Callithrix jacchus: one gene and its partners. The protein of the gene in region 1 interacts with the protein of each later gene in a biochemical or structural test. Links are inferred from orthologs where the notes say so. Each region holds a gene or a part of one and is shown in the gene's direction. Other genes may lie near its edges.

Region 1 (10,249 bases):
TTGGTAGTGGTTGGGGGTAGACGTAAGGGGCAGACATGAAGACAATAAATAGGCTTTCGGAGGAAAAGGTTTGCTGTGGGATAGTGGGCACATAATTTTTAGTAGATAATGTAGTGCCACATTCTAGAGGTCTTTGAGGAGCAGTCTAGAGAATTTGGATCTGATGTTGGAACTTACAGGCATTTGCTTCAGGCGGTGGTATATTAGGAGGACTATTATGGTAGCCATTTAGAAACTGTTTGCAAGTGGGACGGAGGCAGGGGACTGGAATGTCCCTAGTTAGGTTTTTGTAATGGCGTTCGTCTAAATTTGCATGGTGGTAGTGGGTTTGGAAAAGTATAAATAGTGGTGATTTTCCAAATGAAAAACCAGTAAGTAGGGCTTGATGCTGAGAGGTGAGTGAGGAATACAAATTCTTAGGAAGGTTTTAGCTTAGGCATCCAGGGCTGTTGAGAGAACATCTGCTTAGAAGCAAGAGAAGTTGGGGAGATGAGTTTAGGGTTAGAACTCAAGGATCTTTGGTCAGTTTGACATGTGGGAAGGGAATCTGACAGTTTCAGAATGCAAGCGTTGTGCCACAAAAATGCTGCTAGTCCATATGGCTGCAGGGCTTAGAGATTTAGAGATGACTGCTGGCCTCACAGTTACCTTGTGAGGTCAGCAGTAAACCGGTTTCAGTAAACTGGTGCTGAAACCATGCTTTGGAAAGGGCGCTGGACTCTCCCAGGGGCGCAAAGCTAGGAAACAAAAACCTTGGGTTGATACCTGGTCGATTCCAAGTCCAGTGCTACTGTAGACGGCTATGTGGGGATGGGGAGGGGTTCCATAACAGTTACAGAACCACTGGGGGCTGACTGCATTTTACATCGTCCCACAGCACTCTGTTCTTTCTCGGAAGTTTGTGGAGGTGATGACCAAATACAATGAAGCTCAGGTGGACTTCCGAGAACGCAGCAAAGGGCGAATCCAGCGGCAGCTTGAAATTAGTATGTGCCTGAGGTTTGGCGTGTGCCCTCCACCTTTCCTGCCACCTGGTTATCCATCCCAATTTTTGAGGCCCTGGGGGAGCAAGCAGCACCCACACTTTGTGCCTAAGTCTAGGGCAGATGCTATCGCACTGGCATATCCTGAATGCTGTGCTGTAGGCTGAAAGGTGACACCGTGTTTATCAGGCCCAAGTAGTTATATTGCATGGGGTCCAGCATCTTCTCCTCTATAGAAGGGAATTGCTTGCCAAACAGTTGCTCTCCTGTGGACTCATTGTATCATTCTGCTGTCTGTTTGACAGCAAAGCACATTTATGAAATACAAAGTGTGGTGTAAGTTGCTGGGAGGAATAGAGAAATAAATAAAGTTATACCCTTTAGGAATTTTAGGGATACCCTTTAGGAAGGCAGGGCCCTTCGGGGTGGAAGGTGCTTTGGGTGAGAGGAATGGTATGAACGTACTCAAGAAAGAGCAAGCGTGTTTAGGAGTGGCAGGTCATCCAGGGTCTGGGAAAAGGGTGTGTCTGGAGTAACTTAAGGTTAGGATGGATTGAGGGAGGGCTTGCCCACGAACTGGCATGTAATAAGGGCCTTGGATCCCATAGTGTAGTGAATGCGGCAAAGAAATGCTCTGAGCTGGGAAGCAATGTAATGAGATAATGTGCTTTAGGAAGGTAACTGCTGACAATGTTTAAGGATCGCTTGGATTAGGGGAGAAATAAGATGAGTCAGGAGACAATTAGGGGAGTGTTGTAAAGACCATGGTCTTTATAGGGAAGTCACGTTCCTAGTTTTCAGGGACCTTATCAAATGGTATTTCACTGTGATCTTATATTTGATGCTCTGCTTCTTTTGTTATAAAGCCGGCAAAAAGACAACAGATGAGGAGCTGGAGGAGATGCTGGAGAGTGGCAACCCAGCCATCTTCACTTCTGGGGTGAGTGCCCCGTGTGCTCGGATAGCATATCCCTCTCATGAGCAGGGAGGCCACTGTGGAGCTCACGCGGTCCAGCAGGTGGAGGGGGTGCTGCAGGTGCAGGGAGTTCAGGGAGGCAAGGAGCTCCCGAGGAGTGTGTGTGAGGGCTGTGACAGGGGCAGCCTTTCTTGCAGGGGTAGCTGACAGTCTCTCTGTGTGTGGCCTGTTGTAGATCATTGACTCACAGATTTCCAAGCAAGCCCTGAGTGAGATTGAGGGACGGCACAAGGACATTGTGAGGCTGGAGAGCAGCATCAAGGAGCTTCATGACATGTTTATGGACATCGCCATGCTGGTGGAGAATCAGGTAAGTGGCAGTGAGTCCCAGAGTGGGGAGGGAGGAGAGGAAAGCTCAGGGTCTCTGGAGAACAGGGAGGAAGGGAATTCTGGAAGCCAGTGAGGTAGGGTGGGAGAACCATTGGGAATTTGCATAAAAGAGAAACAGAATTCCATGGGAAAGTGTGCATTCAAATTGAACGCTGACACTTTGGGTGATCTTGGCCTTTTCATTCTTGTCCATCTTTTTGGCCTTGTAGTTGTTGATAGTTGACATAGAGGTTGATGTGTTCTGTCAATTACCTAGTTCCCCCAGATTTTAACATTTTTAAATTTATTTTTATTTTTAAGGTGAAGTATTGCTCTGTTGCACAGGCTAGAGTGCAGTGGCATGATCACAGCTCACTGCAGCTTGACCTCCCAGGCTCAAGCAGTCATCCTAGGATTTGTCTTTTTTCTTTCTTTTCTTTTTTAAAAATCAGAGATGGGGGTTCCTAATGGTGATGCTTTAAAACAGTTTCCTGATATGGACCAGTTCACTGATGACATTGAAAATGTGATCTTTTCTCTGGTTTACAGGGAAAGCTTAGGTTTAACAGAAGTTTTTGTTTTGTTTTTCCTGTTTGTGTTTTTCTAAAAATTTTGACACCTTTCACTAAGGCACAGAGCAGACAACATGAATGAAGGAGTAGTGAAATAGCATTTACAGAAGGAGTCACAACACTCATGGTGCTTAATTCGACAGCTCATTTTGTCCCAGGCATGCTTGCTTGGGATAGAGTTCTGGATTGCCTGCATAGGGTGCTAGTTTCATGTAGTCAGATGGTTCCCAGTTCTTATGGGACAGTTAAGTGTGCCACAGGGTCATGGTGCTGTGCACTATTGCCATGAACTTTCAGCAGCTCTGACACCTGGATAGGAGAGAAAATTGCTTCCATAGTAGGCAGACTGCAAAAACCTAGTTGAAGCCCGAGCACGGCTTGACTGGTTTTTGATGTTGGTTCCCTGCTGAGGGCCTGGGTGGTTTCCCCAGTTCCCCACTGGCCTCCGAGACCATTTCTCAAGTCCCTCCGTCCCACCTTTTCTTTTTCCCCCACACTGCTTTGCCGAGGAACTGGCTTGAGATTCAAGTGATGGTAAGTGCCTTGTTCTGTTTACAGACCGCCATAGAGTGACAGAGTAGGGTTGAGGAGGGTCTGGGTAGTTGAGGAGAATTCCTAAGACACCTAAGATTCATTGGAATGATTAAACTTCCCTGTCAGGAAGTAATTGCTAGGAGACTGTTGGGAATCTTATCAAGAGACCACTGTCTGGAAGGGAAAATATACCCAAATAGCCTGGGTAAACCCAACGTCTGTCACTTAAAGGGCCTGGAAATAACTTAGAGAAAGCAAATGTTCCCCACCTCAGCTAGTTATTGAGTACCTACTGTGTGCCAGGCACTCTTCTGCAGTTAGTGAATGTACTCAATTCAGGCTGAATGATGTTGCTTGAGGTCTGAATGACCAGGAAGAGATCAGCATCTGGTAATGTCCTAAGAACATGAGATATCCTTAATTTTGGTTCTTCTCCATGTGCTTAAGTGTGAAAAATAAATAAAAAAGGTTGTCCAGGGATACCTCAGAGTGTATTTATAAGGAGTTACCAGGCATCTAGACAGTATGTTCTGGATGCCTGGTGGAGTGCTGGTCACAGAGAAGTAGGAAAATTCAGTGAAAGCTTCTTGAACAAGTGACTGCCACCCCAACCCACCACCAAGGACTGAGGAGCCACAGGTAGTCCCATGGAAAACGTGAATGCGTGCCCTCTGGAAGGCCATGCATCAAGGTTTCTGGATTCTCCTCTTAACCACTGAAGATGGGAAGAAAGAGAATCCCTTCCCCACATTGGCTAGAACTGTCCTGGGGCATTTACTGTGTGTGACCAGAGTCTGTTCTTTGCAGGGTGAGATGTTAGATAACATAGAGTTGAATGTCATGCACACAGTGGACCACGTGGAGAAGGCACGAGATGAAACTAAAAAAGCTGTGAAATACCAGAGTCAGGCCCGGAAGGTGAGACTCTCCTGTTGCCTTCAGAGAAGAGAGTCCATTTGGTTAGCTGTGTCTCGCTCTTTCTCTTCCCTCTCCCTATCTCTGTTTCTGCTGCCGCCACCTCTTGCATCTGGGGAAAGGGATCCATGATTGACCGTATTGAGAACAACATGGACCAGTCAGTGGGCTTCGTGGAGCGGGCCGTGGCAGATACCAAAAAGGCTGTCAAGTATCAGAGTGAAGCCCGGAGGGTGAGCACCTTAGTCTCAGCTGTCTTAGCAGCTTCTCCTCTCCCTGGCCATCCCCACCTGTGTCATTGAGCCCACCCTCCCTGTCATGACCTCATCAACCCCTCCCTCAGCCTTTCCTAGATACCAGCTGGCTGCCCTTCCTTCTCAGGTGTGCCTTGCATGGATCTGGCTCACAAGCTATCTCCCCAGGAACCCACATTTGAAAGGCAGTTCTGTAGGATAGATGCATGGCCCAGGTGTTGCTGCTGATCTTCTCCTGGACTTAGCTCATGAGACTTTCAGATGTTACACTTGACTCCTCTGTTCAGAAACCCTCTTCATTGTCTTTCACTCCAGGCTCCCAAACCCTGCCTCCCTTCTCTTTTTCTCTACCTTGTACTTGAGGTATGCAGTTTTCTCTACCCATGCTAACTGCTATGTATACATTATCTTATAGCTAATGGAGTACCTGTTATTTCTACTTTATAAAGAAGACAGTTGAGGGTCAGGGGTTCAGTAACTGACTTCAGGCCACCCAGCGAGTAGAGGCACTGGAATTCAAGTTTCGATCCCAGGCATTCTCTTTCTACAACACCACCATATTTGCCCACCCTCTGGTGCCCCTCCTGCTTAAGGACTTCTAGGCTTCTGGGCTCATGACTGTGGGTATCCAGCTCTGGTGGCTTCTGCTTTTTAGACTTTTCTCCTTTGGCTAGTTCTCTTGGGCTCTGACACTGTTGTTCTTTGTTTTTCTTCCAACTTAACCTATTGCTTATACAGGGATTTAGGGGACTGGGAAGTTATTTGACATGGTGAATCCAGAATGGATGGCATTTTCTCATATCCAGGCAGTGGACTGGGTCTGACAGGTAAAAGTGTACTTTAGGGGACAAATGGACAAAAGTAGGAAATCAGGACTCTATCAAAAATGCCTTTACATTCCCTCTGAAAAAGGGAAAAATCAGTCAGCCACTTTTTATCTTGGCCAAGTGCTCCTTAGAGACCCCATGATAGTGGTTCTGATTATATCTGTCCACGTATGCAGAACTGCAGTGTGAGCTGAGAGCTGAGAACTGAGAGCAGCCTCATATTTCCCTCTGCTGGCATTGCTAGCCTGTAAGTAATTTAAAAAATGTAAAATGTCCTAGGCTGGGTGTGGGGGTTTATACCTGTGATGTGATTACAGGTATAAACCACCATACCTAGCCTTCCTTTTGGGAGGCCGAGGTGAGAGGATTACTTGAGCCCAGGAATTTAAGACCAGCCTGGGCAACATGGGAAGACTCTGTCCCTACAAAAATAAAACAATGAGCTGAGCATGGTGGTGCATGCCTATAGTCCTAGCTACTCAGGAGGCTGAGGCAGGAGGCTCACTTGAGCTCAGGAGGTTGAGGCTGCGGTGAGCCATGATCGTACCACTGCACTCTAGCCTGAGTGATAGAGAAAAACCCTGTCTTAAAGTATCCTAGAAGGATGTCTGCGTGTAGAGATGTTGGCTTCTCATTCAGATTGGTAAGGTGTTTTCTATGTAGAGGTGACAGGGGTTGGGTTTTGGATGAGTTGTTTTGTTTTTTGGTTGTTTGTGATAATTTGTTTTTGTCTTATTCCTCTCTCCAGAAATTGATAATTATCATTGTGGTAGTAGTTGTGTTGCTGGGCATTTTAGCATTGATTATCGGACTTTCCGTTGGGCTGAAATAAGAGTGGCCTAAGAGGCTGCTGCACTGAAATGTAAGTAAACGAATGGTTCTTGGGGACTCTGGATTTGGCTCCACAAGAGGAAATTAGCTTGGGATTTCAAACTCTTCTTCTTTCCCACTATGATTGTCCTTGGACACACTGAGCTTTCTAAAACTTTTCGGTAGCCTGTGGATTCTTTATCTCTTTACAGTTCTATTCTTGGTTTCTGGCTGCAGTACATGGGTGAGGTCTCTGTTCCTATCCTGTAGATTCTGTCCCCAAACTCTGTCTTGTCATATTTCTCACCACTTCTCCCAGCGTACCTGAGCACCCCATTCAACTCCCCTTACTCAGGAAGCATGCTCCTAAGTTGAGTACATTGGATCTGGGGTCTGTCTTCTGAATTCTTACTGATTTTCATAGATGTTGGGCTTTACTTTCTGTTTCCTTTTCAGTGTAAATGAAGCTCTGAGTTAGAATTTGGGTCTGCAGATTTTTTTTGTTGCTGATTGGTTGGGTCTTAAATGATGACAGTTAACACACTTTTGAGTGTTGCGTTGTACCAGACAATGTACTAAACACGTTATGCATGTATCATTGAATCCTTACAACATCCTGTGAGACAGATACGGTATGATGCACATTTTACTGACAAAGAAACTCAGTCAAAGAGAAGTTAAATAACAGGGCCAAGTTCACACAGCTAATAGGGGACCTAGCTTCTCTTTGTAAAAGAAGGTAGCCATTATCATTACCTATAAAGCCTGGAGAACCTTAGAGGATAGTGATATTAAAATTTAGACTATTAATTTTTTTGAAAACTTGTTAAAAATGATAGACATATCACTGAATCACTGGTTGTTTTTGAGACAGCCTTGCTCTGTCACCCAGGCTGGAGTGCAGTGGCATGATCTAGGCTCACTGCAACTTCCGTCTCCTGGGTTCAAGCGATTCTCCTGCCTCAGCCTCCTGAGTAGCTGGGATTACAGGCACATGCCACTGCACTCGGCTCATTTTTATATTAGGTAGAGATGGGGTTTTGCCATGTTGACCAGGATGGTCTTGAACTCTTGACCTCAGGTGATCCTTCCATTTCAGCCTCCCAGAATGCTGGGATTACAGGCATGAACCTCTGTGCCCAGCCTGAATCGCATTTAATAATAGTGAGCATATCAAGAATCTGGCTATTGGAACTATTAAGACTTTTAATTATTATTTTTTTCTTTTTTACTCCACATATGCAACTGAAGACTTTTGTGACTTAGATTTTTTTTTGAGACGCTGTCTCATTATGTTTATCACCCAGGCTGGAGTGCCATGGCGTGATCTTGGCTCACTGCAACCTCTGCCTCCCAGGCTCAGGCGATCCTCCCGCCTCAGCCTCCTGAGTAGCTGGGAGTATAGGTGTACACCAACACGCCAAGATAACTTTTATATTTTTTGTAGAGACAGGGTTTTGCCATGTCACCCAGGCTAATCTTGAACTCCTGGACTCAAGTAATCTGCCTGCCTTAGCCTCCCAAAGCACTGGGATTACAGGCATGAGCCACCGTGCCCAGCCGGTGACTTTTAAAATATTTTTCTGAATAAAATATAGCATGTATTGTTAAAAAAACTGACCTATAAAATACAGAGAAAATAAAAGTAGTCAACTTTTAATATTATTGCTGATAACCTCGTGGCATGTTCACACATTCAGACATAGTTTTATGTAGTTCAGATTATATTATCCATAGTTTTGTGCCCAGTTACAAAATCATAAGCATCATTCCACAGTATTAAAATCGTTTTGTAAATCTAATTGTCAACACGAGATTGTGGCCATGCTCACAAATATTTAACATTTTCACAATGTTGGAAGTTTATGTTATTTTGCTATAGCTGACAGTGTGACTAATCTTATTTAATATTTTTCTCACTTAAAGTTTCTCTTTATTACAAACTCATATGAGTTGGATTACTGAGATAATAGGCATAAACATTTTTAAGACTTGGCACATAAAACCATGGCAGTACCCAGAGCTGTGCCTTCCTTTTATATTTATTTCAGTGTGTCTCTTCTTACTCCTCCTCCTTCCATGTGACCAGAGGGTTTAAAAGTCAGCTTATTATAGCATTGAATATTCAACTTCATCTTGAAAAGTAAACAACAGTGAGATTAACAGCCTCTCATAGACAGGTGGTTAGTTGATTTTTTTTTTTTCCCCTTCTTTTTTCTGGCACTTGGAGACTAGCACTTGACTTTTTTGTGTGAAGTTTAAATTTTGTTTTGGCTCCGAACAATCTGATTGGAATAGATGTTGAGATTTTAGAAAGATATAATAGTTGTTATTATCCCATATCCTTGGATGAAATATCACATGCAAATTCATGGTGCCCCTTTCCATTCCTAATTCCAGGACTTCAGAATGTGTATGAATCATTTTTCGAGGACGTAACTCCTCAAAGAGGAGCAGACTAATTAAAATGTTGTTTTTGGTTGACTAACTCTATATTTAACATGCTAAATTGCTGGGCAACTGTTAAGCTGCTTTTATTGTAGTTTATTCGTGTTCCCTAATAAAGTCAAGACTGATTGTTGCCTTGGTCTGGACTCCCCTCTTCCTCCATGTCACCCAAGGAAGAGAGGTCTTTGAGCAGGATGGAGGGAAGACAGTGTGTTTATATTTCCTAGTACTATGCCAGCTGCTTGGTCTAGGATCATAGTATCCTTCCCCATTTTATAGACGGGGAAAGAGCAATGAAGTTAAGGAACTTGCCCAAGGCTACATAGCTCATAAGGTGGAGCAGCCATAATATGACCCCTGAACTTTTTCCATATGCTTCTCATTGTGCCCTTCTGCTTTCTAAAAGAAAGGCAGCAGGGAGTTAATGAAGATTGAGAACCAGAAAGGAGCTTCTGCAGCCTGTCTTCAGGAGAGTGCTGCTGTGGGCCCTGCAGAGCAGGTGTTTTCACTAGGGATCGTTCCTTCCCACCACATCCTTTCATGGGTGTGGACAGCCTGTGAGAAGGCTTATAAAAGCCTTAGAGGCTTTTCTATTTTTTTCCCCCTCTCACAGTAGGGCTTGTTATCTTTGTATAGTGGGATATTTAACTCCAGGTTCTGTCTTGGGTTTGTCTATTTCATAGTGAATTCTGGGCTTTCCTCCCCACCTTCTCGGTTTGTGGATGACTTTTTCTGTTGCCCTTTGCCTTCTTCCTTTGTACTGATCAACTCCTCCTTTTCCTGCCTTCTAGAAACTGATTTCACTCCAGCCTGGTGTGGCCACCCTTGTCTTCAGATGAGAATGGAGTCTGAATGGCCTTCCTTGAGAGCGAGTGCAACCCATTCCTTTGTTTCCTTGTGACCACCCTTGGACCTGACACTCCGCTAACAACCTAGCCCTGGGGGAAGGCGATCTACCTGATGCGACCCTGAGTTCTCCTCAGAGCCTCCTCCTGCCCCACCGGCTCTCAAGTACCTTTTCTCCTGGACTGTGTGAACCCAGCCTGCTTCCTTCCTCCCTGTCCTGTTTCAGATTTTGCCTTGCACCTGGGAAAGCCCCTGGGAGATCCTCCCAAGGTGCTGTATTTTTCTACCTCATGGATTATTCTCCCAGAAATTGCAATGTATTTTTTTTAGGGGAGTATCTTCAACAAAGCAGAAGGATTCTTCTACGTTTGGCAACAATAAGGCTTGCATCCGAGCCTTCTACCTGGCAGGATGCCAATCCTGTTTGCTGTCCCTATGTCCTGAAGACATGAGGGACTGGCAGATGTCATTTTGGTCTGAAGAGTTGACTTGTTGAAATTCAGCCTTAAATTAAGCTCTTAGTTGTTCAGCTTGGAGGGCAACTTTGATTTTTCTGTATGTTGTAGTCTCTCGTATTCACTTGGGCGATCAGGATGATATAGTCATCTGAGGTTATGCTTTGCAAAAGGCTGAGGGTATGGAATATTTGTTTCCATGTCTGAGTCTTAGAAATTGCTGTGATACTTTGTGAAGCTATTGCCTTGGGGCCAAAAATAATCAGGGATTTTAAACTGGGTAAGGGACAGGGTGCTAAAATCTTAAGCTCTGGAAATAT
Region 2 (10,990 bases), on another chromosome or scaffold:
TGTCTCTACTAAAAATACAAAAATTAGCTGGGCATGGTAGCGCACACCTGTAGTCCCAGATACTCGGGAGGCTGAGGCAGGTGACTTGCTTGAACCCAGGAGACGGAGGTTGCGGTGAGCCGAGATCGCGCCATTGCACTCCAGCCTGGGTAACAAGAGTGAAACTCCGTCTTAAAAAAAAAAAAAAGTAATCACTTCTATTTTGAATATAACTAATGCTAGTCGTTTCAAAATGTAAAAGGTAAAAAAGGGCTTACAGCTGGTTTCAAACAGAGACATTAATTTAACAATGGAGAACTCAGATTCAGCATCTGACCTCACTAATCAATCTCAGCACTAATAATAGTTGGAAAGCTAAAGCACACAACATGGTCTATGATATAGTCCCTAAGTGTTTCACCTGAATCATATCAAGTGGTCCGCTCTAACTTCCAGTTTGTGGTAACAAGTGAAATTACATCACCAGAAACCAATCAGAGACAAATCTAGATAACTGACCAGATCCTTTTAATAAGTCATGTGGAGGGGGTATTGAGGGAAAGAGATGGAAAAAGGTAACTTTACTAGATTAAGAGAGACTTGGAGGGATATAAAAATCAAATTAAATCTGTGGCCGATGATTAGAAACTGGATTTTAAAAGTTTTAAAAAATGATCAATCTGGAGAAATTTTAGTAAGGATTGAGTATTAGACAGTAAGAATTGAGTATTAGACAATATAGAGAAATTACTTATTATTCACTGTAATTATATTAGAATGTGTGGGAAAATGTTCTTTTTTTAGAGACATTAAAATATTTAGGGGTTAAATGTCAAGAATAGGCCAAATACAAAAATACAAAACATACAAATACAATACTAAAATGCAAAAAATTAGCCAGGTTTAGTGGTACACACCTGTAGTCCCAGGAGTCTCTGTTGCCCAGGCTGGAGTGCAGTGGCATAATCTGGGCTCACTGCAACCTCTGCTTCCCGGGTTCAAGCAATTCTCCTGCCTCAGCCTCCTGAGTAGCTGGAATTACAGGCATGGGCTAATTTTTGTATTTTTAGTGGAGACCAGGTTTCACCATGTTGTTCTTGCTTGTCTCGAACTCCTGACCTCATGACGTGCTTCGCCCCGGCCTCCCAAAGTGCTGGGATTACAGGCTTGAGCCACCATGTCCAGCCAAAAAAAAAAAAATTTTTTTTTCTTAATTAGCTGGGCATGGTGGAACACACCTATAGTCCCAGCTACTAAGAAGACTGAGGTAGGAAGAGGATTGCTGGGGCCCAGGAGTTTCAGGGTGCAGTGAGCCATGATCATGCCACTGCACTTCAGCCTAGATGACTGAGCAAGACCCTGTCTCAAAAAAAAAAAAAAAAAAAAAAAAGCTTTTAGGGAACGTGATTACCAGTCCCTTCTGTTTCCTAGCCACTACCAATTCTAGCCACTCTTAGAAGTTTATTTTCTGGAGATACTTTTCAATATTTTGCGTTAAAATATATAATATAAAATTTACCATCTTAAACATTTAAGTGTAGTTTAGTGGTATTAAATACATTCATAATGTACATCAGTACCAACCATCTCCATAACTATTTTCATCTTGCGTAACTGAAACTTTATATCCGTTAAACAATAACTCCTCATTTCCCCCTTCCCCAACCCCTAGCAACCACTCTACTTTCTGCCTCTATGATTTTGACTGTACTCCACAGAGGATATTCTATGCACATACAGTTGTCCCTCGCTATCCATGGCAAATTGGTTCCAGGATCCCCCTCAATACCAAAATCTGAGAATGCTAAAGACCCTTATGTGAAATGGCATAGTATATGCATGTAACCTACACATACCTTCTGTATACTTTAAATCATCTCTACGTTACATACAAGACCTACTACAATGCCTACACATAACTTCATTTCTGTGGATGCAATGTAGTACGTACTCAGCAGGTAGCAAATTCAAGTTTTCTTTTTCAGAGCTTCATGAAAATTTTTTCCCCAAATATTATCCATCCAAAGTTGGTTGAATCCATGGATGCAGATCCCATGGACGGATATGGAGGACCAACTGTATATGCAATACATATATTTTTATAAAACCACAGTGGTTGCAAAATGCATACCTTCTTTTGCACCTTTTCTTTCTCACTATATCTGAGGTCACTCAATATTAGCACATATAGAGCTGACTCATTCTTTCCAGCACATGGATACATTTATTTTACCAATCCTTTACTGATGAACACCTGGGAACTTCTTGATAGTTTCTTTCAGATTAATAGATGCATGCACACACACTGGACTGTAGGGCTTCACTAGTGATTTCACATGCTAGAGGTCCAAGTAGAGTATTCATATGTAACTTGTCTGCCTCGATGCTCTTATTCATTGGGTACACAATTAATCCTGAACTCTCCAAGATTCTCCAATTACAAAACACAATGCATAGGCTTCTCACTGACCCATTCCTGGTCCCAAAACCAAATCATCTAGCATCTACCATTATTCCTTTCTACTCTTGTCGAGCAGCCTTCAAACTACATGTGTTCTAATCTAGATGTACAATAATCGCTATTCAGTTTCACCTGAATCATATCAAGTGATCTGCTCTAACTTCCAGTTTGTAGTAGCAAGTGAAATGCTATCACCAGAAACCAATCAGGGACAAATCTAGATAACTGACCAGGTCCTTTCAACAACTCACGTGGAGGGGGTATCGAGGGAAAGAGAGGGGAAAAGGTAACTGTTCTAGATTAAAAGAGAATTCCAGAGATAAAAATCAGATGAAATCTATGGTCTTTTTAGTATCTTCCTTTTACTCAAAACGATCCAGGTTAGGCGAGGTGGCTCAAGCCTGTAATTTCAGCACTTTCGGAAGCTGAGGTGGGCGCATCACCTGAGGTCAGGAGTTCGAGACCAGCCTGGCCAACATGATGAAACAGTGTCTCTACTAAAAATACAAAAATTTGCCGGGGGTGGTGGTGGATGCCTGTAATCCCAGCTACTGGGGAGGCTAAGGCAGGAGAATTGCTTGAATCAGCGAGGCAAACATTGCAGTGAGCAGGGTTTGCCCCACTGCACTCTGTCCTGGACGACAGAGCAAGACTCGTCTCCGGGAAAAAAAAAAAGTTAACTCTAGAAACTGTAACTGTAATGCAGTTTGCTTGGGAAAAGACGTGCTTTTGGAATCGTATTAAGTGAATTTCACCACCTACTCTAGCTAGTTTAGCTTGAGCAAATTACTAGCAAAATCCCAGCGATCTCATTTGAAATGCTGCAGAAACCTACTTTCCATTACAATATCTCATTAATATTTTTATGACACACGTAAATGTAATTGGCAACTGTGTAGTAGATACTAAATAAATTCTAGTTGCATCTGAATACTGTCGTCCCTTATTTCATTCACGACCAAACTTGAGAACGGGCCTTAAAGCAAAAAAAAAAAAAATTTTTTTTTGAGATTGAGCCTCTCTCTCGCCCAGGAGGGAGTACAGTGGCGCGGTCTCGGCTCACTGCAACCTCCGCTTCCTGGGGCTCAACCGATTCTCTGCCTCAGCCTCCAGAGTCCTGGGATTACAGGCGCCCACCACCAAGCCCGGCTAATTTTTTGTATTTTTAGTACAGACGGGGTTTCACCGTCTTGGTCAGGCTGGTCTTGAACTCCTTGACCTCGTGATCCACCCGCCTAGGCCTCCCAAAGATCGCAGGCATGAGTCACCGCGCCCGGCCCTTAAAGCAAATTTTAAGGTTTCCCATGGGATTTACAACAGTACTAAACTCTTAGTAAGTACTCAAAAGTTATTTGTGGTTTGAATAGGCTGGATATAAACCATTACGGTGGATACAGCACTTGTTTGCTAAGCAAGAGAACTTCCCTGACCTAGAATGGCAGTCTCAAGTTGCTAAAAGCGAATCTCGAACTTCTCAACAAATCTTACTCTCAAAGATGATTAAACAACAAACTGAAATGGGAGGAGGGTGTAAAGCGTTTCCTCTCCATAACTATAAACCGAGATTCTGACTAAATATTAAATGAACACAGTAACCGCTCCATAATTAGTTGCCATTATTAAGATACATCACACACGGAGAGAAAGGAAAGGAGAAAAAGGAACGAAGGTTGTCAGTCGCGAGAGGTTGAAATGTGTCGCGGGACCTGAGACTACCGGCTTTAAGCACCAGGGTCTTTTGGACTCCCTGCCCAACTGAGGACCGAAGGTCAGCGGCTTCCCCTAAAGGTCAAGGCTTTGGAGCCACATTTCCTTCTGGGGCTGGGAGCAGAGCTGGAACGCCCCCACGAAAATCCGTACCCCGAAGCCAGCAGCACCGCCTGCCTGTAATCCCGCGCCGGCTCTGGGAGAGTGGACCGCTGGGTTACCCCTGCGCCGCAGCCTGCCGGAGCAGAAAGCGGGCCGCGTCTTGCAGCCACACAATCTCCCTAAGGGACAGACCACCAGGACCCTTGGGCTCCAATACGCTCAACGCAGGCCGGCCCATCGATACTCACATTCACAGCCAACCCCTCTTACTCCATCAGGCCGCCGAGAGACAGGCGAGGGAGCTCCCTGACGCCCCAGACTCCCCCCTTCAGTTTTGGGTCCGGGAGCCTGCTCCGGACCCGCTCCCCGCCGGGCCCTGCCACAGCCGCCGCCAGCGCGCAGGCGCACAGCGAGGCCGTCACGCTCTTTTTTTTCCTTTGCCTGCAGCCGTTCTCAATAATCTAGCTTTATTTGAACACAAGAGAGTGAACAACGGACACACAGGAAGAGGTTTTTCTCAAAAAGAATGGAGGAAGAACAAAGGCAGGTCAGCTTGCGGGAGAGTCGGTCCGCAGCATTGGACGCTATGAACAGTCTCCCTGGTCCCTTTTTCATTTTCTTTATTTCTCCTTGTTCTTTCCCGGCCTCCCTCTAGCTCCTTCCTTGGTGTCCCGCCATTTCCTTTAGTCAGTGGCAACTGTTCAGGCTAAAATTTGAAATAACTCCTTCCTTGTAAAATTTACTAAAATTTAATGGGAGGTGCAAGAGCTTTTAGGACAGACCTGCCCGAGTTTCAGATCTCGGACTAGCTACTAATAATTTACGACTTTGGGTAAATTAAAATTTTTCTTGGAACCTCAAGATCTTGAGTTAAAATTAGGATAATGTTGGGCCAGTCACGGTGGCTCATGCCTGTAATCTCAACACTTTGGGAGGCCGAGGTGGGTGGGTCAGGAGATGGAGACCATCTTGGCCAACATGGTGAAACCCCTTCTCTACTTAAAAAAAAAAAAAAAAAAATAGCCTGGTATGGTAGCGGGCGCCTGTAGTCCCAGCTACTCAGGAGGCTGAGGCAGAAGAATCGCTTGAACCCGGGAGGCAGAGGTTGCAGTGAGCCGAAATGACGTCACTGCACTCTAGCCTGGCAACAGATCATGACTCGGTCTCAAAAAAAAAAAAACAAACAAAAAACCCTAAAATTAAGACAATGTTATCTCACAGGGTGTTGCTAAAATTAAATAACATAGGTCAAGTGTTTTATCCATGAATGCTGCCTATCACAGAGCAGACATTCCATTATAACTGGTTTTATTCTTACTCATGCCTAAGGTATTTATAATTTTTTTTTTTTTAGGTAGAAACGGGTTTCACCATCTTGCCCAGGCTAGTCTCAAACTCCTGGGCTCAAGTGAACAGCCTTCCAAAGTGCTGGATTACAGGTGTCACCCACTGCGCCCAGCCTACATTTATTATTATTACTGAGACGAAGTCTCACTCTGTCATCCAGGCTGGAGTGCAGTGGCACTATCTTGGTTCTCTGCAACCTCTGCCTTCCGGGTTCAAGCAGTTCTCCTGCCTCAGCCTCTCAAGTAGCTGGAATTACAGACATACACCACCATGTCCAGATAATTTTTGTATTTTTAGTAGAGATGGGGTTTCGCCATGTTGGCCAGGCTGGTCTCAAATTCCTGACCTCAAGTGATCTGCCCGCCCCGGCCTCCCAAAGTCCTGGGATTACAGATGTGAGCCACTGTGCCCAGCCGCCTATATTTATTATTAAACTTAGCTCATACCCATTCCCTCAGAGCCGTAATTTTAGTGACTGAGACTAATCAGATAAAGGAAATGACATTAAGGTTGATCATTATGTGAAGTGTTCCTCTTATATTATTGAGATTATAACATCTCTGTTTAACCAGACCGTCAATGCCTCAAATAAAAGTGAGCAGTTACATTCATCTCTATGTATATCCAGATTTGCTTCTAGAGGTTCAGGAAACTTCCAGTTCTGTGTTTGTGACATCACAAGTCCTTGAAACACTCAAGGGCTATGGTATGCTGCTCATTTTACTCTCCTTCAAAGGCATGCAATGGAAGAACTATTTTGCCCTGTAAACTCTGGCCCATCGTTCAAGGAAAAGCCTTTAGAAGACCACAGTCAGATATTGGTGATTATTAAGGTAAGCTACTTTAGTGTTTGTCAACTTTGGGATTACTGACATTTTTGGAACATATACTTTTTTGTTGTCAAGGGTATTATGTGCATTATAAGATGTTTAGCAGCAGATCGGGAGCACTAGCTCACATATGTAATCCTAGAACTTTGGGAGGTCAAGGCAGACAGATCGCTTGAGTCCAGGAGTTTGAGACCAGCATAAGTGACATGGTGAAACCTCATCTCTACAAAAAATATGAAAGTTAGCCGGGTGTGGTAGTACACACCTGTACTCCCAGCTACTTGGGAGGCTGAGGTGGGAGGATCTGAGCTGCAGAGGTAGAGGTTGCAGTGAGCCAACATCACACCACTGCCCTCCAGTCTGAGCAAGACCCTGTCTCTCTTTCTCTCTCTGTCTGTCTCTCTCTCTCTCTCTCTCTCTCTCTCTGTGTGTGTGTGTGTGTATGTGTGTGTGTGTGTGTATGTTTAGCAGCATCACTGGACAAGATGCCAGTAGTATCCACCCCCCATTTCCCTGTTATCACAGACATTGCTAAATATCCTCTGGAGGACAAAAGTGTCCCTGGTTGAGAACCATGGAATTATTATCAATGACCATCCCAACCCTAAATGAACTCAACTGTGCATTTTCTCCACCTCTGCCCTTGAAAAGTGACTACTGCTTGAGAAAGCTACACAGGAAGGGAGAAAATGGTGAGTTCATTTTTGCCCATATTAAAAAGGCCCTCAGTACTGCTTACCAGTCCTACAATGTTTTTCTATCCATTTCTTGTATTACTTTCTACAATATTCCAAATCTTCTCAACTTTCCTTTAAACTCCCAATACTATCTCCTTTTCTGTCAGATGATCCTATCTCCAACCTCACAGAGAAAACAGGTCATCAAATGAGAACTTTAACTTCCTTTTACTAAACATACAAACAGACACATTCTTCCTCTCATAATTGGGGAAGGAAGTATCTTCACTCTCTCTCTTTCTCCCTCCCTCACTTCTTCCAAAACCACTCCTCTCACCAGTGCTTTGAACTGCCTCGAAACTGCTGCTATTCTTACCCTTTCAAGAACTTTCCCTACTGACTATCCCTTCTCTTCCTTTATTCGAACATTATTTCTCAGTTGAATCTTCCCTACAGTGCTCAAATTTCTCCTGTCTTAATTTTAACAAAAACCCAAAAAAACACCTGGGCTCGGTGGCTCACGCCTTTAATCCCAGCACTTTGGGAGGTGGGCAGATCACGAGATCAAGAGATCAAGACCATCCTGGCCAACATGGTGAAACCCCATCTCTACTAGAAATACAAAAATTAGCTGGGCATGGTGGCGTGTGCCTGTAGTCCCAACTACTTGGGAGGCTGAGGCAGGAGAAGTGCTTGAACGCAGGAGGCGGAGGTTGCAGTGAGCCGAGATCCCGCCACTGCACTCCAGCCTGGCACCTGTCGACAGAGCAAGACTCTGTCTCAAAAAAAAAAAAAAAAAAAAAATTAGGCCGGGCGCGGTGGCTCAAGCCTGTAATCCCAGCACTTTGGGAGGCCGAGGTGGGTGAATCACGAGGTCAAGAGATCGAGACCATCATGGTCAACATGGTGAAACCCCGTCTCTACTAAAAATACAAAAAATTAGCTGGGCACGGTGGCGCGTGCCTGTAATTCCAGCTACTCAGGAGGCTGAGGCAGGAGAATTGCCTGAACCCAGGAGGCGAGAGGTTGCGGTGAGCCGAGATCGCGCCATTGCACTCCAGCCTGGGTAACAAGAGCGAAACTCCGTCTCAAAAAAAAAAAAAATCCAATAAACAAAAACAAAAAATCTTGATCCTTCATCATCCTCCCTCCTTCCTCCCTGTCAAGGCCAACCTTTCCAAAAGCATTCTACAACCTGTCCCTATCTCTACATCTCCCCCATCTCCAAACTATTGTTTCTTTCAACCCCAGCATTTCACCAAACAGCTTTCACTGAGATAATCAGTGACCACTGTGTTACTAAATTTAAACATTTCTCAGGCTTCGTCCTCCTTGATACCTTAGGAATAGACTACTTCCTTTTGAAGCACTTTCTTTTCTTGATTTCCAGCACTTTGTTTTATTCTTAGAGGTGCGTGGAAAGGTTCCTGCAGCAAATGGTTTACAATAATCACCCATCTGCTTAAAACCCTTCAATAGCTTTCAGTGCGCATAGTACAAATTAGTCCAAAATTCCAAGACCTTCCAAAATCTAGCCATTGTTGACCTTTTAAAGCTTTCTTCCTCTACACTCGGGGATGTACGATTAGCACTAAGCCTTTAGCGAGGATACACTGCTAGAAATTTCCAAAATGCGTTATGTTGTTCTTGACACAAGTTGTTCCCCAGAACCTGGGAAACTCTAGCTCCTTCTCTGCCGGATTTCCGGGGTAACTCCTACTTATCCTTCATGACTCAAGTCACTTCCTCCGGGAACACTTCCAGAGACCCCTAAGAATGAAACGCTTTGTTTATTATCAGCCAAAGACGCCTCGGATTTTCAATGTACTATGCACTGTATTCCATCCACTATAATTTGTTTACATATCTATATCTTAGTCTAGACAGATTGAAAGGCGCTGAAGGGCAGAGAAAGCTTTCTGTTCGCTTTCTTTTCCTTAGCGTTCATCTGGCACAGTGCCTGGTACACGGTTTGCCCTCAGTAAATGTTTATTGAATGAACACCTCCCAGACTCGGGCAGGACTGAAATCTATCCGGTTAACTGATGAATTCCCAGGCTCTCCGCCAGCGTGGCAGGGAGATTTAAACCCCCAGCACCGTGATTGGCTCCAGCTGCAGGGGTGTGTTCGCGTCCGCGGCGCACGGGAAGTGCGCAGGCGCGCGGCCTGGGCGCGCGCAGGCGCTACTAGGGCACTGCGCCAGGTCTGGTGTTGGGGTGTCGCAGCTACAGCGGCCGGAGAGGAGTGGCTTCACCCGCTTGGTGAGTCTCCAAGAGTGGGATGGAGGGAGCTGACCGGTATGAAGTCTGAGAGTATATGGTATTGGTTGAAAAGTTGGTTGGGTCAGGCTTAAGCGGACGAGGGGGCGCCCTGGCCCTTACTCGGCAGATGGGCCCGAAGCTAGGAGGGGAGGCGCCGGGAGAACCTCGAGGAGGTGGAGGAAGGGTGGCTGGATGGTGGTTCCCTGGACCCTTCCTCGAAATTAAACAGAGATCTCCTCCCGCCCCTCACTCCCACTGTGCTGCTGGGGTTGACATTAGTAGACTGCATATATGGTGACCACGGTGATCAGATAGCTCTGAGATAATGGTTTGAGGAAGGACTCTGAGGTTCCTGGTATTGGATAGTCCTTGCTGTCTGTAAAAGCTCACCTTTACTTCGCGGCTTTACTGCACAAATAAGAGGATCAGTTAAATAATGAATTTCACAATTCGGGATTGGAGTGGTCGGGGGGAAAAGTACTGTAAAGTGTTTTTTTCACCTCGTCCTTTTTTTCTTCTTTAATCATTAGCCATCACGGTGTTAGGAAGGGCAGTTGACGGGAGGAAACGTAAAGACATAAAAATTGGGGAGAAAAAAGGCAAGAAGGGAGTATCCTTTTGCCTTTTGCTATTTGTCATCTCCTGGAATGGAGTCTGTATTAGTCCATTCTCACAGGGCTGCAAAGAAGTACCCGAGGCCGGGCGTGGTGGCTCACGCCTCTAATCCCAGCACTTTGGGAGATGAGGTGGTAGGATCACTTGAGGTTAGGAGTTCGAGACCAGCCTGGCCAACATGATGAAACCCCATCTCTACTGAAAATACAAAAATTAGCCTGGCATGGTGGCCGGCGCTTGTAATCCCAGCTATTCAGGAGGCTGAGGCAGGATAATCACTTGAACCTGGGAGGCAGAAATTGCAGTGAAGGGAGATGATACCACTGCACTCCAGCCTGGGAGACAGACTCAGAATCGAAAAAAAAAAAAATACCCAAACTGGGTAATTTATAAAGGAAAGAGGTTTAATCGACTCACAGTTCTGCCTGGCTGAGGAGGCTTCAGGAAACTTATCATCATGGTGGAAGGCAAAGGAGAAGCAAGTACCTTCTTCACAAGATGTGAAGGGGGAAGAGACCCTTATGAAACCATCATATTTCACTATCTTGAGAACAGCATGTGAGAAACCACCCCATAATCCAATCATCTCCCACCAGATTTGAGATGAGATTATAGATAGCCAAACTATATCATTCTGCCCCTGCTTGCTTGCTTGTGTGCACTCTCGTTTTCTTTCTTTCTTTCTATTTGATGGAGTTGCACTCTGTCGCCCAGGCTGGAGTGCAGTGGTGTGATCTCGGCAACCTCTTCCTCCTGGGTTCAAGCCATTCTCCTGCCTCAGCCTCCTGACTGGCTGGGACTACAGGCCTGAACCACCATGCCTGGCTAATTTTTGTATTTTTTAGTAGAGACAGGGTTTCACCATATTGGCCAGGCTGGTTGAGAACTCCTGACCTCATAATCTACCCGCCTCGGCTGGGCCACTGTACCCATCTTCCCTGGCCCCTTTCAAATCTCATGTCCTCATAGTTGGAAAAAGAATCATGCCTTCCTAGCAGGCCTCCAAAGCCT
Region 3 (11,021 bases), on another chromosome or scaffold:
ATTTTTTTCTCTTTGGCTGAGAGCACAGAGGCTTTCAGGGTGGAGAGTAAGGACAGTTTCCATGGACATATGGAGCTCCCAGGGGGGTTGTGCAGGACTCAAGGAAATGTCCAGCTTAACCTGCTGGGCATCACAATTTTGCTGCTTCAACCCATCTGCTATGGAAAATGAAGAGCCAAAAAAGAACGGAGAAACAGAGGTGAAGGCACCTGATAACGAGAGCTTTAAGAAAGGGAAGGAGCAAGTATATGCTGTCAGGTGAACCTAGAAGTCAATAAAGATGAAAAGTCCATTGGACATGACCAAGAGATCATTGATGCAATCTGCTGATGTATTAGAATGTGCCTTGCCTAGGCTGGTGCCTGTGAGCTGGCAGAACTGTGACGACCTTCTCTGCTAGAATCAACAAAATGGCACTAGATATTCTTGCTCCATTCCCAGGTATATCCTGAGTCATTCATTTCAACCCAGCTTAACCCAATCCTCACCTTCAGAGTTCTCTACCCTTGGAATCAACTCTTATTGAAGATCACTTATCATCTGCCTCAAAACCACTGATCCACATTGCCATTGTGTTCTGACCTCTGGCTGACTCGCTTAGGTATATTTTGGAAGCATGTTCTGCCCCGATTCTTATTTAAGCAGTTTATTGGATATTGATCTCTGAATTCCCTCCTTGACTGTAATTTGAACTCCCGTCCTTAGAATGTGTTGTTTCTGTTTACCACAGGTTAACAGCCTAGATCTCTTTCTTGAAATTAGCCCCAGCGAAACCTTGTTATTCACCCAACCAAAGCTGAAAATCATACTCATCCCTCTATCAAATGAAACCCTGAAGCCCCTAATGAGAAAAGGCATACACAAGCCACAATGTCTTGAGGCAGAGAAGGTAGCTGCAGAGGGCAAAAGAGAGTCTGATGGAGCTGGAAGAGGCTGTACTAAAACAGAGTAATTATGAGCTTGGGCCCCAGGGTTCAACAGTAAGCTATACCATTTCTTAGCTGTGGCCTTGGCCAGGTAATTTAACCCCTCTAACCCTCAATGCCCTACTCAATTTTTCCGAGACCCCAGTGACAAGCATATGGCAGATGTTCAATACTGAGTAAATGAATAAGTTCATACAGATGGAAAAACCAAGGCCCAGAATGTTGACACATATCTAGTTAACAGCTAATGAAAAAAGGCAATCCTCCATATTAAAGCCAAGTTACATGTCATTTCTTAGAGAAATAAAGTCTCATCAAAATGATAGACTTATTGTATTTAGCCAATACTTCATATGATACTTCGTGCTTCATAATTTCCTTGTCAATTAGGTATAATTATTGTCTCCATTTTACCTAAGAGATAACTGAGATACAAAGAGGTTACAGAATGAATATGATTCCTAAAAGATTTACTCAAAGAATACTGCGATACCCTATCAAATAGCCTTTTTGAAATGTATTAATTTGGACTACCATTTTCTCTGCTTCTCTGTTCCTGATTGTCACAGGTACTTCCTTTCTACTTGACCACAGGCATGTATCAGCATTGTGGAGGATCCCAGGATGCATTGTAAAAGAAAGGCTGTAATTTTGCTGCATCAAGGAATGAAAGTGTGGAAACATCCAGCCTCTCGCTGCTGGGCAGTCCCCTTCTTCCTTCCCACAATACTGTCTGTAGTAAAGAATAAATGTTATTTAACATTCTGGGTGCACAGTCATATTTTTTCTTAACACAGCAATACAAAAACTGTAACTAATATTTCTGGTTCTCTTTTTACCTCTCACAAATATATATCCACCTTAGAGGCTTCAGGGAACAAGGACAGCCTGGATAGTTTAAACCCAGAGCTAAACTATTCTAGGCATTTTAAGGCACTTCACTATATATAAATGGGGTGGGGAACTGGGTGAAGGGCTAGAAGAATATATGAAGAGAAAGTGGCAAGCAAACCATGTAGAAAGCAAACAAGGAATCAAAACAGTTGATATATCAAATTGAATATTCTTGCACCCAAACTGAATATTCTTGAGCCCTCACAGTGTTTTGAAAACATTGTCATAGAGTGCCTGGCATTTCCCAGAGGAGGACCCTAGAGAGGGGGCTTCTAAGCTGGGCCATCTCTAAACTATTTTCAAGTTGACTTTGGAAAGATCACATGGGATTTTAGACAAGTTTTTATTATTATTCCTTATGAAATTGTAATTATTGAGTCAACAATGAATGTTGCACCTTACCTTTGAGATACAAGCTAAATACCTTGGACCTACAGCTACTGCAAACCAGAATACTTCAGGGCATAATGTACCAAAAAAGCTTTCAGAGGCTTGAATTATCATAGTGTAAATATCCATCTAGCCAAGCAAGTAATTTTCTCATTACTCATCCTAACGATTAGATACTCTGTGTTGGTCCTTTGTAGAAATAACCCACGGCAGCTGAACCATCTTGGAGCAATGGTTCCTTCCCTGTATGGTTCAGGCCTTTGCAAACCCTGAGTAACATGAATCTGTTGGTTCCCTACTGGCAAAATGATGATGTTTTCTTGTTTGTTTTTGTTTTGTTTTAATCATGCCATGAGAAAATCCTAGGGGGGAAAAAATCTCATTATCATATCCAAAATACATTTAGGGTTATCTGGTTATCCTTAGCAAACTTTTATGTACCCAATGTTTATGTTTCCAAATTAGACTTTTTTACCTTTCCCAGAGCAAGATGAAGAACCTCTCAAACAGCATCATTTTCAAAACAAGCACTAGCGACAGAAAATGCTGTCACCGCCACCAGCTAATCCTGTAGGGTCCATGGTATTTTCTGTAATGCCTTGAAAGAGTCTGCCTCGAAACAGTCTACCTCTCTCTTCCTATCTGTCATTTTAAAAGATGTCAGTGTGGGGCATCAGCAGTTGAAAACTCAGAAACCAAGCCCGTCCTTCCCTGTGACTTCCACATAGCTTTTGCCTGCAGGAGAAGCCTCCATCACTGACATACTTGCTTTTTAACTTTTTTTTTTTTTTTTAAACCTGGAAAATCCCCCACCTCCTCCATTCCTTCACAAAACTTTCTGCCTGAATGATTTCTAGTCTGAGGGCCATACAGATATTTTGTTTCTCTCTCTGCAGGTTGTTTTTTTCTCTTCAAACTTCCGCATGCTGCCTTTTTTTAAAGTGTCACATTTTGGGGAAAAAAAATCTGACTATAAAGGATTTTGCAGTACATTGCTTTCATTGCCACTTTCCCCCTATTCCAGCTTGGTTTATAATGAAAGTAAGAGCCATAATCAGGAGACTTTTGACAATTAGTATCTAAGGACTTTGCAGATTTTCTTCTTTATTGTATGGAAATCTTAAGTGTTTAATGAATATTTAAGTAAAAAACTTTCAGCAACATGCCTTTTTTTTTTTTAGGAATATGGCTTTAATAAACATCCAAACACTGTTAATTATTATGGCAAACATTAATATGTCAAAAAAAAAAACTTTTCAGGCCAGAGAATCTTTAAGAAACAATGATGTCTACTGATTTCAATTAAAGGTATCCTTTATTAAATTCTTAAAAGCCCCACTCTTTCTAAACGCAGAGCCTTCACAACTCTTCTTCTTTTCCCCCCTCCCTGCTTCCCTCCCTCCGCAATAGAGTGCAATCAAAGGCCGTATTATTGCTTGAGCTTGGCTCTCAGGCCAGTGGGATGTGTGTGTGTGTGTGTGTGTGTGTGTGTGTGTGTTTGTGTGTGTGTGTGTGTTTGGTGGGGCAGGTGTGTGCAGGGGGAGAGGTTGCACGCCGTTTATCCAAACCCAGCTCTGAATGGTTTCTCCTAAGCGAGACAAGGATTTTCCATCTCCTAAAAGAGGCCATCAAGTTTTAACATTGCGAGGCACGACTTCTAATCACATCCTTCCCGGAAAAGTACAAACAGTTCCTCAGGCGAGGTCCCCCACCTCCCACGCGCTCCCCAGCCCTCCCTACCCGTGGAGAGCCCGGCGACAGCCTCCCCAACATCTGTGAATCATCCGGGAGGCGGCCACCGCCGAGCTATCCGCGCACCACCCCCTCCCCAGACCTGTGCACGGCCAGGAAGGACAGTTAGGATTGTTGCTTTATCATTATCATTTTTAATCTCTAATATGACCAGCACAAGTAGCCTTTGTCTCCCCGCCCTGATCTGAGCACCCAAGGGCCCCCGAGGAGGCCTGCACAGGTACTCAGTGAACCACCAGATTCGGCGGCGTCCCAGCTGTCCTTGTTTCTAAGCCCCCACCTCCCCCGGCGGTTAGGACGGTTTCCTCGGGGCATCCCTGACTCCGTAGGGTACCCCTAAGACACCCAGCACGCAACCCGAGTGCCGACTGCAAATTCCACCGAAAGCAGCGTCCTCCGTTTTTGCCCTAGGCAAACAACTCAACTTGTATCCCCCAGCCTTTGCAAACCTACGCTGGCTGGGCTAACTCCGCTTTCCTTCTCCTTCCCCCGACTCCTGCCACAGCTCAGAGAGCCTGGCTCTGACGTACTTCAAAATAACGTGCGCCAGCCTCGCTCCCCGGCTGACCACAGCAAAGGGAGCTGCAAGCCCTCGACGCTGCTTCGGTAACATGAAGAAGTCACTCATAAAAATAGCAACCCACGTAGCCTGGCCATATATGGAGCCGGCGAGGGTGGACGGGGATGCCCCTCCGGACCCTCTTTGGAGGAAACAAATCGCCGCTGAAAATTTCCCCCCACTCCTCCCATCACTACCTTTTACCCCTCCTCTACCTTCCCTTCTCCTTACATGACTCAACCACAGATTCCACTGAACGGGGTGGGATGTGGGGAAATATATATATACACATACGCGCACACACACACACAAATATATACATATAATACATGTATTATAAAGTATATACACACATGCATTTATACACATACGCATATGTACACATACAGGCACCAGAGAACATCAGCAATACAGTCGCGGGTTGAACGCATTTGCCCAAGACTGAGTGTTAAAATGGAGTCACAAGAATCGCCCCGTTCGGGTGTTTATAGAAGGCGAAAACACGGCTGTTTGCAGGGCAGCGCACGGGGAGCCGAGTCAAGCGCGCCGCAGCTCGGGCCCCGCCCCCGCCCCCGCCGGTGCCCCGCCCCCACTTCCTCCCGCCCCTCGCCGGGCGGCTATTAAAAGCTGCTGACGTCAAGACGGACGGCCATCTTTGATGAGGGCAGAGCTCACGTTGCATTGAAGACGAAACCTCGGGGAGGTCAGGCGCAGTCTTTCCTTCCCTCCCTGCTCCGCGGCTCCTCCACACTTGCAACCTGCAGAGGCCCGGAGAACACATCCACCCGAGAAGCCCAGGTAAGAAGCCCCCTCCCCAGGTCGTGGCTCTGGCTCGGGATGGCTGCATACCCAGAAGGGACAGCAGCTGGGCAGTCCGAATGGGCTTGGGTAAATACAAGTATTGGTGCACTTAGGGTGCGGTATTCCGTGTGTGCACGTCTGGTGGGGGCTTTATAAAGTGTTTTTGAGGTGAGCTGTCGGGGGAAGGGGAAACGGGAGCCCTGCAAATGGAGCGACAGGGAGGAAGAGCGAGGATACGTACCGAATAACTTACTCTTTTGAAACAGTAGTGGGACCCCCTCTTTCTTCCATTTTGCCATGCAGTTTTCAGAGATGTTTAGGGCTGTTGGGTTCCCCCCCCACGTCGTTCTAACCCTATTATTAGGACTGTTGTCTTTAGGGTGCTATTATCCAGGGAAGAATTAAGGGGGAGACAGGGTGTGGGTGCTGGGGAGGCTAAAGGAGAAGGGGGAGTTCCCGCCCCGGGCAAGCTGAGCTACTGCAGCGACAGCAGCCTCCATGCCCCGCGGACTTGATTTATGCCGCCTGCTCCACGTCAACTGCAGGCTGGCGGGGGGCGGGCGGGTCGTGCCGGGTGGGAGGGCTCTGCGGAGGGCTGGCGCGGGTGGGCTGGCCTCGGGGACTGCGGCGGCCCGCGCTCAGCACCCTGGATAGCAATACCAAGGGCTCGCGCGGGCGCCCTCGACCTTTCAGCACCGGGGACAGCGGTCCGGCCGCAACGCCGCATCTGCCTGCGGCAGAAACGCCTGGCCAGGGCTGGATGTGCCAGGGCTGGAGACCAAATTGTCTCTCTGAGACCCCGGTCTTACGGAGACTCTTAATAGAGCAGTCATAGTAGGTTAAAAGAAAACAAGAAAGAAATAAATCTTGCTCACAGAGACTCCTTTGCCGACAATTTTCTGCTTCCCTCCTCACCTTCATAGCTTCAACAAAATAATAATCTACTTGTGGAAATCTGTGTTGCCTTCTGCCTCTTATTTTAGGTAGAAAATAGATACATTTTTAAAAATATGCATTTATCCTTTAGCACGGTATCAAGGGTTTTGTTTTTTAACACAGAGTAGGTCTGTCTACAGATCTTGGGTGGGCATAAGTAGTGTATATATGAAGAAGCCAATGCTATCTGTTTATAGGGAGGATACGTCTCTCTACCTGTTTCCATTTGATAACAATTTGAGATTAGCTGAACTAAGCAGAATCAACTTTAAAAATGAATCCCTGTTTATTTTCCTTCTCCCCCCATCTTGCAATCAGGCATGAACACAAGTATTCATCCACAAAAACACATCTGATAAATATTACAGGTCCCATACTGTATAACCTCTTTGGCCATGGTTTCAGAGTTACTGGAAGTATTTCCTATCAGCATTGGTTATTGCAGGCTGATAGCTTCAGATTTTGAAAACATTAAGCCTGGTCTTCCTCAGGAGAATCCAACTATGTTCTTCAGGGTAATGCAGGTAAAGAACCATGGTGTTAGACTGGAACTGAACTCTGACCTAAAAGACCTACTGCAATTTCTCTTATGGCACTGCAGGATTTTGCTGAGGTGGTGATAACTACTTTAACCATTTTCCATTCTGAGGCTTGGAGCATCTGAGAAAGCAAAAGTCATCAGGGATACTTCTCTCTGTTTAATATAGATAAAACTAGCATAAAATGACCAGTATCAAAATTACGCCATTCGAGTAGTTAGCAAAAAGAGGGTAACAGCGTCATATGTAAGAATCTATACAACACATTAAAGAAATGCTATAATGATCCCCTTAAAGGACCCCAAATTAGACCCTGGATTGTGTTTAGATAGTCATACCTCCAATCTTCCGTAAACTACAGATACTAAAGTTCCCTGTTCATATACAGAAGGCGATTTCATTCCTAGCTATTCAATTATTTCCTAGTGTTTTTTTCTTTTTGTGGATGACCATGTGTTTCCATGTATGTATATGTTGATCTGTTATTGTGCATGGATGTAAAATTATTCGAGTGGACATTTATATAAGAGTATGTAAATGTATAAAAGAAGTTTAAAACTCTGCATCTGCAGACAAAATAAATAAACAACTGTGTTTTAGCGGTGAGAGAAGAGAAGAAAATATGGGCAGGAATCTTTAAAAATGCTTTAACTTCATGCTGCATGTCCAGACAGCTCTCTGCGTAGTTGCGTCAAATGAAAAGCCTAATGCTGCCAGAATTACGTGCTTGGACATTAGCAATTACTGCTGGGTTTGTTTGCTAGTGGAAAACTGGGAAGGAGGGGGGGAAGTAGAGGACTGCAGTAAAGATGGCAAAGGGCACAGAGCTGAGGGGAAAAAGCAATTTGCACAATTAGAAAGCTAATTTTAGAATAGCTTACTGAGAAATTTAAAAAATATATAATTGAACTATGTATCTAACATTTATATCATTGACAAGCTTCAGGGGGAAAAAATAGAGAAATTTCCTATTTTAAGTTTGAATTTTTAAAATCCAGGGCAATGCGGTGAGAAGAGGCAGGCGTAGATGGACGTAGGATGAGCCAAGAGTCATTCACACAGACCCTCCGGTGCCTGTTTTTGTTCATCGACATTTACTGCATTACCACCTCAACGTTCAAATTACAAAACAACTTACAATCCTCTTAACCTCTTCATGGCAAAATCTCCCCAAAATTTACAATTTTATTTTACTTTGTTAAACACGCACGACCACACATGCACAAACACAATACAAACTACCCCTTAATTAGCTTGTCTAAAGACATTCCTAAGCTCTAAATGTTAACCCTTGAGTGAGTGTTATCAGCTGAAAGACATATCTCTGCCTGTGACACCTAGAAGCTGCGTAGCAGTCAGCCTTCAGCCTAACAGCGTAGGTTTTGACAATGAGTAAAAATGAGAAAAAGAATTTGAGTAAGAGGTTGAGAGAGGAGACATGAAGAAGAAAAACAGATAATCTGCTTTTTAGATAATGCACTGTGAATAAACAATGTTTCTCACATTATGGGACTGCTTTACAATTCTATAAAGGAAGGAAAAATCCATGTTTTAAGCCTCAGCACTAGAAACATTTCTGCAATGTCATCCCTTGTCAGCAAGGACCAACCGGATAGAAAGATATTGATCAACTTGTATGCACCAGATAAATAAATGAATCCCATGGGAGATATAAAATCTCATGGTTTTGCCTTGACCTTAATAAGTTTAGTATCTAGCAATCTTAATAAAAGCAATAAACAATAAGTTAATAAATAAAACCAGAATGAAAATGCAATAAAACATGAGAAGAAAAATTATTATGATATATGTGATTAATTTCCAAGTGAATGTGACCAAAAATAGGGAACATAAATTCAAGAGGGCAATATCACAGTAGAGTGGGACCACCTGAGAGAAGAGGCAGGCCTTGAGGTGGCTTTTGGAGCTTGCAGAGAGGTGGGAGAATTCTGCTAAGTTGAAGTCACAGCATATGCAAAACATCACATTAGGCAAGCCCACTCTACAGTTAGCAAACCCTGAAAATGCCCGTCAATTTGGGTGGAGTAAGAAGCTTGGAGGAAATAGGCTAGGATGGAAAGTTGGAGCCTTCTGTGGAAGGCTTTGAATGTCAAGCTAAGAATTTGATGCTATATCCTCTACAGTTTATTTCTGAGCAGAAGCTGAAAAAACAATATGACCAGGTCCTTCTTAATATCCAGAAATTGCTATTAACAGAGTGGATTTAATTTGCATTCTTCCAGAAGAAGAAAGGAGCAAATTGGTATCATAAGAGACAGTTAATGAAAAAAAAAATCAGTTCTCACTGAAACGTCTTTTAGGATCACTTTGCAGGATGTATATATATATATATATATACATACATAGTTATATAATTCTTACTTGAGAGTTAATTGCAAGTTTCAGTTTTCCATTACTGACTAAAAGAAATTATGCAAGTTGAGTACTTGCCAGACAGATTGAAAAGAAGGTCAGGAATCTGGTGATGAGAAGTCCCAGAAAGTCCCAGAAGGTGCACTTGAATAATAAACATGGTGTAGAACACTCTATTGCTCTCTCTGAGTATTCAGCATTACCAAGTACACTGACTAGAAAGATGAAAAAAGTCATTAGTTCTGAGCATGTTTTGAGCAGCAATACAAATAGAATCAGCCCCAAGAGGCTAAAAATGGGAGGAAAAAGATGGAATTGTAGAATTTTGAAAAACTGGGGTCGGCAGTATATCCAATTTCTTTCCCTGCCCACCTTGCTGACTCTTGCTACTTACCCTCACTTCAGGGTTACCTCGAGGTCTGAATTACACCCATTTTGTTTCTAACCTTGTAGTTACTATTCTCACAGCAGAGCTTCAGGATTCCAAATGCTGATAGAATTGTTAAGCCAAAATAGTCAGTGGGTTTGTACACAGGAAGAAATGCCAATGACAGATATAGATTTTACTGCCATTTCATTTCTGGCTATGAAGCATCAAGAGACTATCTTTATCTATTCTTCACCAGAACACTGACAGTAGAGATGCCACAGGATAACATTTTGATATTCAAGCTGACTACCTAGGGGAAACTTGGAGGTAGTGGCATTTGATGCTTTAGGAGATCAGGTCGGTGGTTATTAAACTGAGTCCAAGGGCCACATAAGCATCAGGTAAGGTGAAGGGAGGAGGTACGACATAGCATTGAGGAAGTAGGACATGATGAGTGCACAAAAAGTTAAAACAAAAAAAGTCTTACAAGAGGAAAAAGGCTTCGTAGAAATTTCTAGAGAACCCCAGCTGCACTGTGAACTCCTCAGAATTGCTATTATTGCCTTAACAATAATACCTACTCTTCCTACATAATTTTCTTCACAAGGCTCTCATGCACTTCACCCAATATAAAAGTCCAAGGAATTTCTGATTTCTAAATAAATAGTGTAACCCACAAACACGTATGTTCAGATATAGTATTTGAACACACTTAGTAAGCCATAAGTTGATTTAGAAGGACAGAGGTACCCAAAGCAGTGATTAATCAGAATAGGCATATGGGGGAAAAGAATGTGACTCTCATTCTAAAAGTGTTTACCTATACTGCTCACTGTATCCTCCTAACAACCTTATGGTCAGATTACTATTATTATTTCCATTTCACAGATGAGATAACTGAGGCACAGTAAGGGTAAGTAACTTGTCACAAAGCAGAGCCAGGACTTAACTGTGATCAGTCTGACTCTAGAGATTAAACTATGAAGTATATTTTATGATATCTCTTGCATCATCCACATTTTTCATATTGGCCAAATAAGGAATAGAGAGTACACATGACATTTTTTTTCTTTGCTGCCTTTTCCTCCTTACTGGGTAGCAAGGCCTGAAGGTAAGGATACTGGTTAGAGCCAGGATACCCAGCTTTAGCCCTGAAATAACTGCTTGTACAGTTATTCCTGTTTGGAATCACACAGTCTTTAAATTAGTCACTCAACCACTGCTGAACTTGGTTTCCTTATTGGCAGAATGATAGAAGTCGACTTATGATGCCCAGTATCCCTACCATTCAAAAATCAATGAAATCAGTGCTGAAAACCCCAGGCAATGGGTCCTGGCCTAGTGACCAATGGCCTCAGCTGGCATCATCTTAATAACGCTTCAGTGACCGATCTGACCCTAATTGGAAGATTAATTACATTCATTGCCTCCCTCATCCCAATCCTTATTTTTTCCTCTCAAAATTGTTTTGCCTTCATCTT

What was found.
Region 2: the proteins of STX3 (region 1) and SNAP23 form a complex in vitro, tested with the Homo sapiens proteins (3 studies listed by BioGRID). The link is inferred for Callithrix jacchus from reciprocal best matches to the Homo sapiens genes STX3 and SNAP23.
Region 3: the proteins of STX3 (region 1) and SNAP25 form a complex in vitro, tested with the Homo sapiens proteins (2 studies listed by BioGRID). The link is inferred for Callithrix jacchus from reciprocal best matches to the Homo sapiens genes STX3 and SNAP25.

What each region holds. Positions count from the first base shown.
Region 1 is NC_133511.1:117,088,786-117,099,034, forward strand, and holds part of STX3 (syntaxin-3), read left to right. Parts: intron 1-877; coding exon 878-986; intron 987-1,849; coding exon 1,850-1,923; intron 1,924-2,134; coding exon 2,135-2,269; exon of another isoform or gene 2,270-3,374; intron 3,375-4,181; coding exon 4,182-4,292; exon of another isoform or gene 4,293-4,411; coding exon of another isoform or gene 4,412-4,522; intron 4,523-6,118; coding exon 6,119-6,202; 3' UTR 6,203-6,232; intron 6,233-9,419; coding exon of another isoform or gene 9,420-9,467; 3' UTR 9,468-10,249. UniProt on the Homo sapiens protein: Potentially involved in docking of synaptic vesicles at presynaptic active zones. Apical receptor involved in membrane fusion of apical vesicles.
Region 2 is NC_133509.1:30,172,873-30,183,862, forward strand, and holds the start of SNAP23 (synaptosomal-associated protein 23), read left to right. Parts: upstream 1-4,712; 5' UTR 4,713-4,796; intron 4,797-6,224; exon of another isoform or gene 6,225-6,332; 5' UTR 6,333-6,429; intron 6,430-6,951; exon of another isoform or gene 6,952-7,077; 5' UTR 7,078-7,118; intron 7,119-9,285; exon of another isoform or gene 9,286-9,364; intron 9,365-10,990. Other genes in the region: ZNF106 (zinc finger protein 106), read right to left, coding at 48-134. UniProt on the Homo sapiens protein: Essential component of the high affinity receptor for the general membrane fusion machinery and an important regulator of transport vesicle docking and fusion.
Region 3 is NC_133506.1:17,321,620-17,332,640, forward strand, and holds the start of SNAP25 (synaptosomal-associated protein 25), read left to right. Parts: upstream 1-5,199; 5' UTR 5,200-5,319; intron 5,320-11,021.